3 linked regions of the Cricetulus griseus genome follow. The protein of the gene in region 3 purifies or fractionates together with the protein of the main gene of each other region. This does not show direct contact. Links are inferred from orthologs where the notes say so. Each region holds a gene or a part of one and is shown on either strand. Other genes may lie near its edges.

Region 1 (4,111 bases), on a different chromosome or scaffold from region 3:
AACCTTTTTACACCAGCCTACAGGCCTACAGGTACCGACAGGCCTAATGAAATTCACTGGGGTTACAACAAATAAACTCCAAACTAAAGAGCAGTTTAATAAAAGATTTTAGAGTTTCCAGCTCTATAATACCATCTAGCAGTAAAAAGAAATATCAAGAAAAAAAAACAGCAGTAACTAGACAAGCACACTCTTCTAGCTTAAGTTTTTTCCCTTACACAACTCAAAAGTCTAACGTTGTACAGTAAAACCAGGGGAGAGCGCGAACGCAGTCCCCCACTACCACAAATTATGCAGTCGAGTTTCCCGCATTTGGGGAAATCGCAGGGGTCAGCACATCCGGAGTGCAATGGATAAGCCTCGCCCTGGGAAAACCACCTTCGTGATCATGGTATCTCCCCTGCCAGGTAAGTATGAGTTGCAGCCGCCCCGCGCGCGCTCTCCCTCATTATAGACTTACTCTCTACTTACGGTCTGTTTTTTACTGATCCTCCTCTCCCTCACATTCCCTTGGTCTAATAGTGAACCCTAAAACCACCCTGTACATAAGTGAATATTATCCATTAACAGTATGGGAAGCCTTCTTGCGGGGAACCTGCATCCTCTGCGTGCATGTCATTTACATACACCACGCCTTTGTTGTGACGTTGCAGGAATGCGTGCTAAGGCCCCGCCTACTAAGGGTGGCGGGGCGAGGCTTGTTATTGATTGAGGGTCAAGTCTGGAAACAAAAGGGGCGGTGAAAACCTGTCTTTGAGGCTCAGGCTCTGGGCAAAAAAGCAGCTCTAGCTCATCGTTTCCGCCAGCGGAAGGAACTCATCCTCACAGTTCAGTTCTAGGAGATTCACCCCTGTAATGTTTAACTGCCGATAGAAAATCTTTTTACTTTTGCATAGTATTTTTCTAGGTAGGTCTACCACATATCACTTATTTGCATACAAACCACTAAGCCTAATAAAAACCTGGGGAGAAAGGCCAAGATAACAACTTGGAAGAAAGAAATCAGAGTGCACGGTGGCGCACAATTGTAATCTCAGGGCTCCGCAGGTCAAGGCAGGCGGAGCAAAGTCAGCCTGGGCTGTGTAGCGAGTTCTAGGTCAGACTGGGCCAGTGAGACCATCTCAGAGGCTAAATAAAGCGACAGCAACAACAAAAATCCATAAAAAGGCAACTGCTGTTTTCAGCGGCAAAGAAAACGCAGAGCCAAGCTGATCCCCGACCCTCCTCCGGTGCCCGTGCCCTGGGACGCCCTGCGCAGGCGCGCACAGGAAGGGCTCGCATGACCAGCGGAAGTGGAGAGTCGGGACGCTTTAGGGGAGGTACCCGCGGAGTACACAGACACCCGGACCTGCAGGGGACCGCGTAGGCCTCCCTAGGCCGCCATGAACCGGCTGCAGGATGATTACGATCCCTACGCCGTGGAAGAGCCGAGCGACGAGGAGCCGGCTCTGAGCAGGTGGGCCGCTGCCCCGCGGTGTCCGCCCGGCCCTGGCCCGAGGCCGTCGTGCTCGCCGAGCCTGGGTACACTGTTCCCGCTTCACTTGTAGGAGCCTCAGGGTGCCTGGTGGGGCTGCTCAGTCTCTGGGGAACCGGGATGGACAGCAGTGCGGGAAGAGGGATGTTCCAGAATCCCGGGGGGCCCCCAAGCGTAAATCTCAGCTGGAACCCTGCTCCTTAGCGTTTGCTAGCACTGTGACTGAAGGCAAGTCAGTTCTCCTCAGCTTCGCATCTGTAAATGGAAATACAAGTGTGGGACTCGTGAGGTCCACAGGCCTCAGTACTCATCTGGAAGACTGTCAAATAGAAATAACGGAGCAGTGAACGGGGAATTTCTTTTGGCTTATGATAAGAGATACAAAATACACAATTCTTGTCTTGGTCTGTGGTACTTTTGGAAAGGGAGTATTTATCCTACCTGAGGGAACTTGGAATGCTTTTACTTATATGTAAAACATGTTTTTTTTCCCCGTTTTTAAAAACCTTGCCGGATATTAAACCCAGGGAATTTTTTAAATCTATCTGTTTCGGTTTTTTAATTTTAGTTTTGAGACAGGGCCTCAATGTGTAGCTCTGCTTGGCCTGGAACTTGCTCTATAGACCAAGTTCATTTTGAACTCAAGAGACCCACTTGCCTCTCTGCTTCCAAGTGCTAGGGTTAAAGTGCACCCCCCTGACTGGCTTGTTTACTCCTTTATTAACCTAGATTCTAGAGTAGTGGTTCTCAACCTTCCTGATGCTGGGGCCCCTTAATACAGTTCATGCTGTGCTGACCTCAACCATAAAATTACTTCATTGCTTGGCAGGTGTTCGGTGTTTCGTGGGTTGGTTAAAGGAAGAGGATCACTCCTAGATGAATTTTAGGTTTTCTGGCAGCTGGGAGGAACAGTTTCTGTGAACTGAACTCCAAACATTTGTGCAAAGTTGTATTTGATTGTTACACAAAAGGTGTTTTTTTTTGTTTGTTTTTTTTGTTTTTTGTTTTTTTTTTGTTAAAACAAGTTCCTTATACCAAAGTCCCTAATATAGTCATATGTCCATGTCCTTCTGAAGAAAAGCATCACACATGTGCCACTTTAGTCCTTATTGTTCACTGTATTATTGGGTATTGCAGTACCCAGTAATCCAAATTATCCAGGTGTGCCAGGACAGTCTTGTGACCAAAGTCATGCAAAGACTGTAAAGCTCTTTCAGAAAAACAACTCTATAGATAACAGCAAACAATCACTGTTTTTTACAGTGATTTCTTCAAGGTCTCAGTACTTCTAGAAAGCAGCTATTATGAAGTTTATCTTTAATACAGTGAAAAACAACTGTTTCATTCTAATGTTTACCTTAGATACAATGATTCTACTAATTTTTCTTGCTATATTTCTACTTTATAAATAATCTTGCTACTGTTATGAATCATACTATAAATATCTGTATTCAGGGTATCTGATATGTGACTCACGAGGAAATTGAGAACCATTGTAGAAAGGGCATGTGGGTGCTGGGAGGGGAGCTAGATATGAACATGCACACAGTAAGTCTGTTACAAGCTAAACCATCTATTTAACTGCTATATGTTGATATATTAACTGTATATTAATTGTATCTCTCTCTCTCTCTCTCTCTCTCTCTCTATATATATATATATATATATATATATCCTAAATAAAACTCTCAGTTTTGTGAAGTAAGTTTTTTTCAGTTGATAGAATTATGAATTGGTACAAATATTGAAAATCAATGTGATAATACAAGAAGTCAGAAAGAGGGACAGAAAAGATGGCTCAGGGGTTAAGAGCACTGGCTGTTCTTCCAGAGGACCCGGGTTCAATTCCCAGCACCTACAGAGCTGCTCACAACCATCTAACTGTAGCTTCAGTTCTACGGGATCCAGTGCTCTTTTCTGGCCTCTATGGGCACCAGGCAACACAATTGATGCACAGATACACATACAAACAGAACACCCCCACCCCCACACACAAACGAAAGAAAGAAAGAAGCCAGACAGTGGTGGGACACACCTTTAATCCAAGCACTCAGGAGGCAGAGGCAGGTGGATCTCTGGGTTCAAGGCCAGCTTGGTTCTGCAGAGTGAGTTGTCGGACTACACAGAGAAATCCTGTCTCACAAAACCAAAACAAACAAGCAAACAAAAAGTAACCAACCAAACAAATAAAAAACCCAGAAACCCGCCCCCTGAAAATCGGAAGGATTAGCTGATCTATTGTTTATTAATGATTATTGCTGCATGTAATGTGATAGGTATATCAGATGTAAATTTGTCAAATTTACATTTGCTATTAAAATGATAGAAGTTTTAAGTGATTTTATTTTGTTTTGTGATGCTATATTTTTAACCTAGGACCTTGCACATTTTATGTGAGTATTGTACCACTGAGCCACAGCCTAGCCGTGATTTTAATATTCAGGGCTAGAGAGATGGCTCAGTGGTTAAGAGCACTAGCCACTCTTCCAGAGAGGTCCTGAGTTCAATTCCCATTTGTAGTGGGATCTGATGCCCTCTTCTAGCCTAAAGGCATACATGGAGATAGAGCACTCCTGTACATACTCCTGTAATAAATAAATTAAAAACAAAGAAAAATACTTTAGTATTCATATTCCC
Region 2 (4,249 bases), on a different chromosome or scaffold from region 3:
CTTACGCTGTCCAGCTAAAGGCTAGATCAATCTCTCCCAAATACCCGTGTATCCTAACTTATTCATCCCCTTTTAAATTTCATGAATGTTTTGCCCGAATGTATATGTCTGTGCACCACGCATGTACCTGGTGCGGAAATCGGATCCCCCAGCCCTGGGGTTTATGGTCTGTGAGCTGTCATGTGGGTGAACCCGTGTCCTCTGCAAAAATATGAAAACTTCTTTTAATCACCAAGCTATATCTTCATCCCCACTTGCTCGTTCTTTACTGGAGCATTCTCTTTTCTCAGACCATTTTCCAGAGACGCTAGCTGACATTTGCCTGCGGGTCACTTTGAACTCCAGGCAGTACTATGCCTCTCTGTTGAACTCCTGAATCAGACTCTGTTCCTAAGGGTTCAGTGTTCATAGACTCAATCAATCCTGTTCCTCCCTAAAAGCTTGTTTGAGGAGCCAAGAATGGTTGTTTGCTTCAGTACTCCACTGAAAAGCACTGGACGTAGAAGTCTGGTTGCCTGGTCCAGCATAGCAATTTGCAGTTTTTCCTGTCTGCCCTAGAGTCTGATGCTCTCCCCAGGTTGAGACTGCTTTATTGAAACAGAGGGGCCCTGATCTTTCCACTGGATGAAAGGGGAGCACATGTAGAGGGATTTGGACACACACATACATATATACTTAATAGCTACCGGGAAGGTACAGCTATTTTTGTGATTTAACCGGAGGCAGGGTTGTTTTCCCTAGTATATTGTTTCTGCAGGTAGAGCCCATCATCCCTGTGGCTAAGCAATCCTTTATACCTTTGGGCTATTGCCCAGTACAGCCTGACTCATGACCTGAATCTATTTATTACCCAACAGGTGGGATTGGCATTGTCTTGCGTAGAGCTGCACACAGGCAGAAAATATCTGTGTAGAGTTACTGTGGTGCGCGTCCACTAAAGCCCCTGGGCACACAATCACTCCCAAGCATGTAACTCCGGCCCATGCACTTATTCTCTGAAGGCCCACGGGGGTGGGACGGAGCAGGAGGGGGGGGTGTCGCAGTTCTGAACGCTGAGCGCACAGAGCAGTAGTTGCGGAGTGCACGCAGTATCGACGGGCGGTGGCCACACAGTACAGCTAGGCAAGTCTTGGTCATGTAGGCTGAATCCGTCTTCCTAAGGCTAGGCAGATTCGAGGCCATGCCAGCACCGGGACGCTCCTCAACAAGCCTACTGGGCTCAGGCTGTGCATCGTCCCTGGCACAGCAACAGAACGCATGACCCTTACATCTGCCTGCGCGGCCCGCTGCGTTAATGGTTAGTGGCTTCCGCGCACGCGTGCTCAGCTTCCCACAGCAAACCCACCCAGCAGCCCCGACCGGAAACGCTTTGCAAACTCACATCTTTGACTTCCGTCAGAGGCTCTGTGTGGGCGGAGTTTTGCGCGACCTCACTCTCTACTTCCGGGGCGCCGGCGACGCAGTAGCCGCCTCTCTTCCAGCTGCGACACCGCGAGTATTCTTCGGCCGCCTACCTGCTCCTCTATCTTTCTCTGCCTCGGCCAAAAACACCGCCATGAACAAGAAGAAGAAGCCGTTCCTGGGCATGCCCGCGCCGCTTGGCTATGTACCCGGGCTGGGCCGGGGGTAAGGCAGTGGGCGGAACTTATACCAGGAAGGGTGGCTAGTGCTCTGGAACACTACTTGCTCCAGGCCTAGTTGAGAATGATACTTGTGACCACTAAGTAGAGAGAGACCTCATCTCAAAACAAACCAACAAAACAAAACAAAAAACAAAAAACAAGTGCCTGAGGGTCTGAGTGTGGTGGTGAAGGTCTCTAATCCCAGCATTGAGGCGGGGCGCGGTGGGGGTGGTTGGGGGGGAGACAAGCCTGATCGGCGTAGCGAATTCCAAGACATCCAGGTTTACTTAAAGAAATCTTGTCTCAAAAACAAGAATAACGTTCACCGCCATATATTCTGAGAGGCACTAGGTAATTTGACACAATGCTTGACAGACATGGTGGCCTTTTTTGTTAGAATAAGCCCGACTGCCACCCTGAGATGTGAATCTGACCTCAGGGATTACGCAGGCGTGTGAGCCTCATTGTTTTGGTGTCTGAAGTAATATGCACAAGCAAGTCGGCTGTAAGGAGCAGTTGAGTCTGATGTGTATAGTAGGAGTGTGCTACTCCTTTATTCCCTTAAGCATCTTTTCCCTCTAGGGTGTGTGGCCATAGGTCACCTTTGGACAGCAATGGCCTATGCCTGCCAACCATAAGGTGTTGGGTAAATGAATAGTATTTTTCCTACTTATTTATGCATTAGATGAGACATAAGTCTCTCCTGTTAATAGTATTTAGAATTGACTTGAATTCACTAGAATTCAAGGTTTGGTGTTTGTGTATATAAGCACACACAGGAGAACAGAAGTTTTAAGAGTGTAGCATTTTAGTCAGATTTACAAAGAGGATTTGAAGTGTCAGATTGGGAAAAGCAAAGAAAAGTGGAATTTATGCCAGGTAGTTCCAGCACTAGGGATCCAGAAGCCAACTTGGTCTACAGATCAAGTTTTAAGACAGAAACTGTCTCAAAAAGCGAACAAAAAGAGGAATTTGGTGTAGACACATAAAAAGGCAAGTAGTGGGCTGTTGAGGTGACTCAGTAGGTAAGGCTCTGTCAAGCCTGAGTTTGATCCCCAGAATCCACGTGATAGAAGGGGAGAATAGATTATTGTCTTCTGACCTCTATACATGTACCAGGTCACACACACTAAATAAATAAAAAAACAGGCAGTTTTAAAAGGCAGCTGGAGGTGTAGCCAACTGTACCATGCCCAGGCCTGGGTTTGATTCCAGCACCTTGCCCAACCTCTTTAAAAAAGACAATGGGAATAGAGAGATGGCTCAGCAGTTAGGAGCACTGACTGTTTTTGTGGAGAACTTGAGTTTCGTAAACGGAGGTGGAGCTTTCATGTCCCGGCTGCACAGTTCCAAATAATCACACAGAAAGTTTTATTAATTACAACTATAATTATATAGTTGTATAATGATATAATTTGACCTATATATAGTTCAGGCTTATTACTAACTAGCGCTTACATTTAAATTAACATGTTTCTATTACTCTGTGTTGCCATGTAGCCCTGTCTTCTTTCTTTCTTTCTTTCTTTCTTTCTTTCTTTCTTTCTTTCTTTCTTTCTGTTTTGTTTTTTGTTTTTCCGAGATAGGGTTTCTCTGTGGCTTTGGAGCCTGTCCTTGAACTATCTCTTATAGACCAGGCTGGTCTCGAACTCACAGAGATCCACCTGCCTCTGCCTCCCGAGTGCTGGGACTAAAGGCATGCACCACCAACACCCGGCTATTTCTTTATTTTTTATTAATTTATTTTTTACATTCCAACCCCAGTTCCCCCTCCTTTTCTCTTCCCACTACCCCACTACCCTACTACCCCTCCCCCCCCACCTCTCATCTGCTCCTCAGAGAGGGTAAGGCCTCCCCTAGGAAGTATACTAAGTCTGTCTCATCTCCTTGAGGCAGGCACCTCTCTACCCCCACACCCCTGTGCCTAGGCTGGGCAAGATATCTCTCCATATAGAATGGGTAGCTGCTGGAGATGGCTCAATATTTAGGAGCACTGGCTGCTCTTCCCAGAGGACTTGGGTTCGATTCCCAGTACCCACGAGAGATAATATTTAAGCCGGGCGGTGGTGGTCCATGCCTTTAATCCCAGGACTCTGGAGGCAGAGGCAGGTGGATCTCTGTGAGTTTGAGACCAGCCTGGTCTACAAAAGCAAGTTCCAGGACAGCCTCCAAAGCCACAGAGAAATCCTGTCTTGAAAAACCGAAAAAAAGAAAAAAAAGGAAAAAAAAAAAAAAAAAGAATAGGTAGCCCTGGCTTTTACTGGTTTGCTGTTGTTTCTTGGGCAGCTGGCTCATGTCTCCCTGGACTCTGCCCCTCCTCTGTTTGATTGTTCTACCTAACCCTATTCTGCCAGGCTAGTGGTCAGCTTTTATTATTAACCAATGGGAACAATATATATTTACAGTGTATAGAAGCATTCTATAGTATATCTCCCTATCTGGCTAATCAAAAAGGAAGGTTTTAACTTTAACTTAGTAAAATTGCATATAAAAGAAAAAGTTCAGTCCCAGTGAGGCCAGAAAAGAAAGGAATCCAGAATGGTGGGATTTGCTGCAAAAAGAATGGAGCTGCCAGGGAGCCTCTGGTAGTGGATTAGTATTTTTCCCTGGTGCAAGAAGGGACTTTG
Region 3 (3,759 bases):
AATTACATCTGAAACAGTCATTTAATAAAGGAGGAGAAAATCAGGCATGCTAACCGGACTGTCAGACCTCTTCCTGTTCCAGTGGTGTCAGAGACGGGTACCGCTCTGGACTTTGCCAGGCACAGGGTGAGCAGGTCCAAGAGAGGCTGTGGAATAAAATGGGTGGGAAGGATAGGGACCCTGGGAGCACTCCATCTGAGTACTCCCTCGTTTCTACCTCCCTGTACTGGGAGTTCAGGCTGACCTTATTCCAGCCTTGACCTCATTTCCACTCATCTGTTGGACATGCCAAGTCACACTGAGACGGGTAGGAGAGGTCACGCAGCAGGAAAATTCGACACAGAATGCTGGGGATAAGCTACAAAAAACTCCCACTTCATCCCACTTTTGAAAGACAATACAGTAAAAGTTAGACTACTGCCCCATCCCAAGTATCTAGGTGCTTAGAAATGTTCTAAAGAGCTGGGTGGCTCTGGCCTGTCTCAAGGGATAATAGTCAAGATGGCAGCCCACTCAGCTCAGCCCTATGAACTGAGGATTAGGCTAAGCAACCTCTTGGGACACCAGCAACTATCACCACTACTGCCTTTCCCTTTGACTCCTGTCTGCACCCCTCCCCCAGGCTACTGGCATATTTAATTGGCCTCTAGAGGAGAGAAAGCGTGGCTAAGATTTAGGTCTCAGCTCCTAGCAACCTCCCTGTAAGCTGATTTGTCAGTGAACCCCAAGTTTGTCCTAGGGCGTCCTAATCTCTACTATCGTCCGTCCGCCGCCCCCCTCCCGCCCCTTGCAACCTGTTCCCTGCTTGGGTTGGCTGCTGGTCTGAAGGACTTTATACTCTTATGTTGTGGGCCCCTGGCCAAGGCTGTTGAGAAAACTGCAGCATGGCTATCAGGGCTTCAAGAACATAGGGAAGGAAGTGAGCGTGCAGCAGCCCAGTGGATTCTCAGACTCTGGTTCCCAGAGATGAAAGAGGACAGCCCCGGGCCTAGAGGGGAGTTGTGTGTGGCCTTAAATAGTGGGGTCGGTGTCCAAGCACGGCTAGGCAGAGCCTAGAGGAGAGGCCTCGAATCTCTGCAGCCCCAAACAACTTATCCAACATCCAGAGCCCACCACGTCTCTAGATGCCAAGAGCCAACTAGGACTTAAGTCCCCGCCCCCTTTAGGAAGCCAACCGAGTACAAGATCAGATCAGCACCACTTCTGACCAGGAAACTTGTTGACGCCCGCACTGCGTGGTGACGCACTTCCTTCCAGTGACGAACCCTGCTCAGACGGCTTCCGACAGGCGGCGCTGGAGGCCTCAACCCTTTGCGATTAGCAGTTGGCCCTATGTACAATGGGAATCGAGGCTCTTGGCTCCGCCTCTTCCTCTTTCGTCATTTCCGGGTAGATTTCCGTGTCCGCTCCAGTCTTACGGGATGACGTATACGTAAAGGTTACACCTCCCGGCAGGCATTACGCATTGGCCCATTGCCTTCTGGGAGTTGTAGTTCCTTGGCCGCTAAAGTTGCAGCATTCAGACAGCCGGAGACTCGGTTTCCCAGAAAGCCGAGCGAGAGTAGGCGGGGGCCACGGCCCGTACCTCGAGAAACCGGCGGGACGCTACGGTAAAGGCAGCTGGCTGTTGTAGCGTGAAGGGACGGTGGAGCGGTGAGCGCTGGCCTCCTTAGGACCGTGCGACCAGGCCAGTCCCCTGCCAGCTCTCCCTCCGGAGCCGGGTGGTGCCTCCGGTGGCGGTGTGTACCCGGAGAGGCTGCGCTCTGTGAGAGCCGGTGATGAGACGAGCTGATGGTCGAGAGCCTCTGTCTCCAGCGTCTCCTAGCGCGCACCCTTTATATGTCCGCACTGTTCTGATCTCATGGTTTGACTCTCTGCTTAACCCTATCTAGACTGCAGCTCCACATCAGTGCGTGCGAGGACACACTATTCGCCACCCAGCTTCGCGAGGCCTCCGCCCGCCTGCGTGACCAGCCAGCGCCCGATTGCGAGCAGAGGCGCCTGGCACATAGTGGAGGTGAAAGTGGGGGAGCCTGGGAGAACGGGGGTGGGGGGGAGCTGCCCAAGTACACCCCTCACAGCAGAACCTGGGCTGCTTCGCTACAGGTCGGGTTCCATGGCGGAGGCGGAGACTGGCTTGGAGGCCGAGGAACCCACCGAAGATGACACCCTGCCTTCTGACACCGTCTCCCTCAGCGACTCGGACTCGGACCTCAGCTTACCTAGTGGTGCTGAGGTGCAAGTGTTGTCCCCGGAGAGGATTTCTGGGGAAGCCCAAGAAGACTCCGGCCCTGATGAGCCTCCCTCGCCCCCCACGGGCGTCCCCACCACCGCAGTTCAGCCGTTCCACCTCCGCGGCATGAGCTCCACCTTCTCCCAGCGCAGTCACAGCATCTTTGATTGTCTGGAGAGTGCAGTCCGGCAGGCACCGCCCTCTGCGCCCCAAACCAGTGTGACTGAAAATGGCAACTTCAAGCGACCTGTGGCTCCCCCAAGTCAGACTCCAGCAGGGAACCTGAGCAGGGTGCATGGGAGTACGGGCCCAACCAGGGTACCTCCTGTGCCCGATTATGTGTCACATCCTGAGCGTTGGACCAAGTACAGCCTGGAAGATGCGACTGAAGTCAGTGAGCAGAGCAATCGTGCTGCTGCCCTGGCCTTTCTGGGTTCTCGCAGCCTGGCATCCCCCACAGACTATGTACCTTCCTTCAACCAGGACCCCTCTAGCTGTGGGGAGGGGAGAGTGGTCTTTACCAAACCAATTCGAGGCAGTGAGACTAGGGCTGAAAGGAAGAGGGTCCTAAAGAAGGGGGATGTGTCAAATGCTGTGAGTGAGGCATCTGTGGAGCTGGCCCATCTGGCAGGGCCTGAGCTTGAGGAGTGGAGTGGCCACCAGGGACTGCAAGAGGCAGTGATACCTTCAGGAGCTGACCATCCTGGGTCCTCATCAGATCCCACAGGGATGGAGGCTGTTGGTTTCCATGGCAGCAAGAAGCGGAGCAGAGAACACTTCCGGAACAGGGACAGTAACCCGGAGGGGCCAGGGTCTGAGAGGGGACCCTCAGTTTGACTGCAGTGCTATCTCTCCACCTCCTCACCTGCCCAGTCCAGGTGGGAAGCTGTGGGCTATTTGTAGAAGGGGTGTCTGGGAAGCAACTCTGACTAGGACTGTGGGAATTGTGGGACCTTATGCCCCCGTTTCTTGGGGTGAAAAATAAAGGTTTGGGATATTTCTTAAATTTTGTGGATTTTTCTGCTCCCTATTCAAGATGTGTCCAAACAGTCCTTGGCAACTAACTTCAGGACTCCATCCTACACCTGGCTTATCTTGCTCTCCCCACTCCAGTGGGGACTGCTGTAAAGATTTGCCATGATCCCTTGCATTTGCTACCAGTGAACCTACCCAGAGGGACTGGGTTCATAACCATGTCCAGCCTTGTACCCCTGATGGTAATGGACGAACATAATCTGTCCCCCAGAAACCAGCACAGCCTCCACACTAGGCCTGTGCAGACCAGTTTTAGGAAGAGGGTAGTTTGAGCCAGCGAAGGAGTTTGGGCAGGTGTCCACCCAAACTAAAGATAGAGCTGGTGTCCTGGGTGTATGTCTCCAGGATTTGTGACCTCTGTGTAGGACACTGCTGATGCTAATAGGCTGATGCTAGGTCATTTAGCTGAAGCTTAGCCCAGGAGGAAGAGAAGGATGCAGGGAAGACACATGAGTGAGTACTTCATGCCGTGGCCAGGGTCCTGAACCAAG

The links.
Region 1: the proteins of Tssc4 (region 3) and Eapp purify together in Homo sapiens (affinity purification with mass spectrometry; 3 studies listed by BioGRID and IntAct, counting the BioPlex papers as one, with this or other methods). This does not show direct contact. The link is inferred for Cricetulus griseus from reciprocal best matches to the Homo sapiens genes TSSC4 and EAPP.
Region 2: the proteins of Tssc4 (region 3) and pre-mRNA-processing factor 6 purify together in Homo sapiens (affinity purification with mass spectrometry; 3 studies listed by BioGRID and IntAct, counting the BioPlex papers as one, with this or other methods). This does not show direct contact. The link is inferred for Cricetulus griseus from reciprocal best matches to the Homo sapiens genes TSSC4 and PRPF6.

The regions. Positions count from the first base shown.
Region 1 is NC_048598.1:147,607,071-147,611,181, forward strand, and holds the start of Eapp (E2F-associated phosphoprotein), read left to right. Parts: upstream 1-1,297; 5' UTR 1,298-1,382; coding exon 1,383-1,456; intron 1,457-4,111. UniProt on the Homo sapiens protein: May play an important role in the fine-tuning of both major E2F1 activities, the regulation of the cell-cycle and the induction of apoptosis. Promotes S-phase entry, and inhibits p14(ARP) expression.
Region 2 is NC_048599.1:310,477-314,725, reverse strand, and holds the start of pre-mRNA-processing factor 6, read left to right. Parts: upstream 1-1,431; 5' UTR 1,432-1,555; coding exon 1,556-1,626; intron 1,627-4,249. UniProt on the Homo sapiens protein: Involved in pre-mRNA splicing as component of the U4/U6-U5 tri-snRNP complex, one of the building blocks of the spliceosome.
Region 3 is NC_048596.1:58,316,366-58,320,124, reverse strand, and holds Tssc4 (protein TSSC4), read left to right. Parts: upstream 1-1,465; 5' UTR 1,466-1,610; exon of another isoform or gene 1,611-1,739; intron 1,740-1,892; 5' UTR 1,893-2,017; intron 2,018-2,106; 5' UTR 2,107-2,116; coding exon 2,117-3,070; 3' UTR 3,071-3,239; downstream 3,240-3,759. UniProt on the Homo sapiens protein: Protein associated with the U5 snRNP, during its maturation and its post-splicing recycling and which is required for spliceosomal tri-snRNP complex assembly in the nucleus.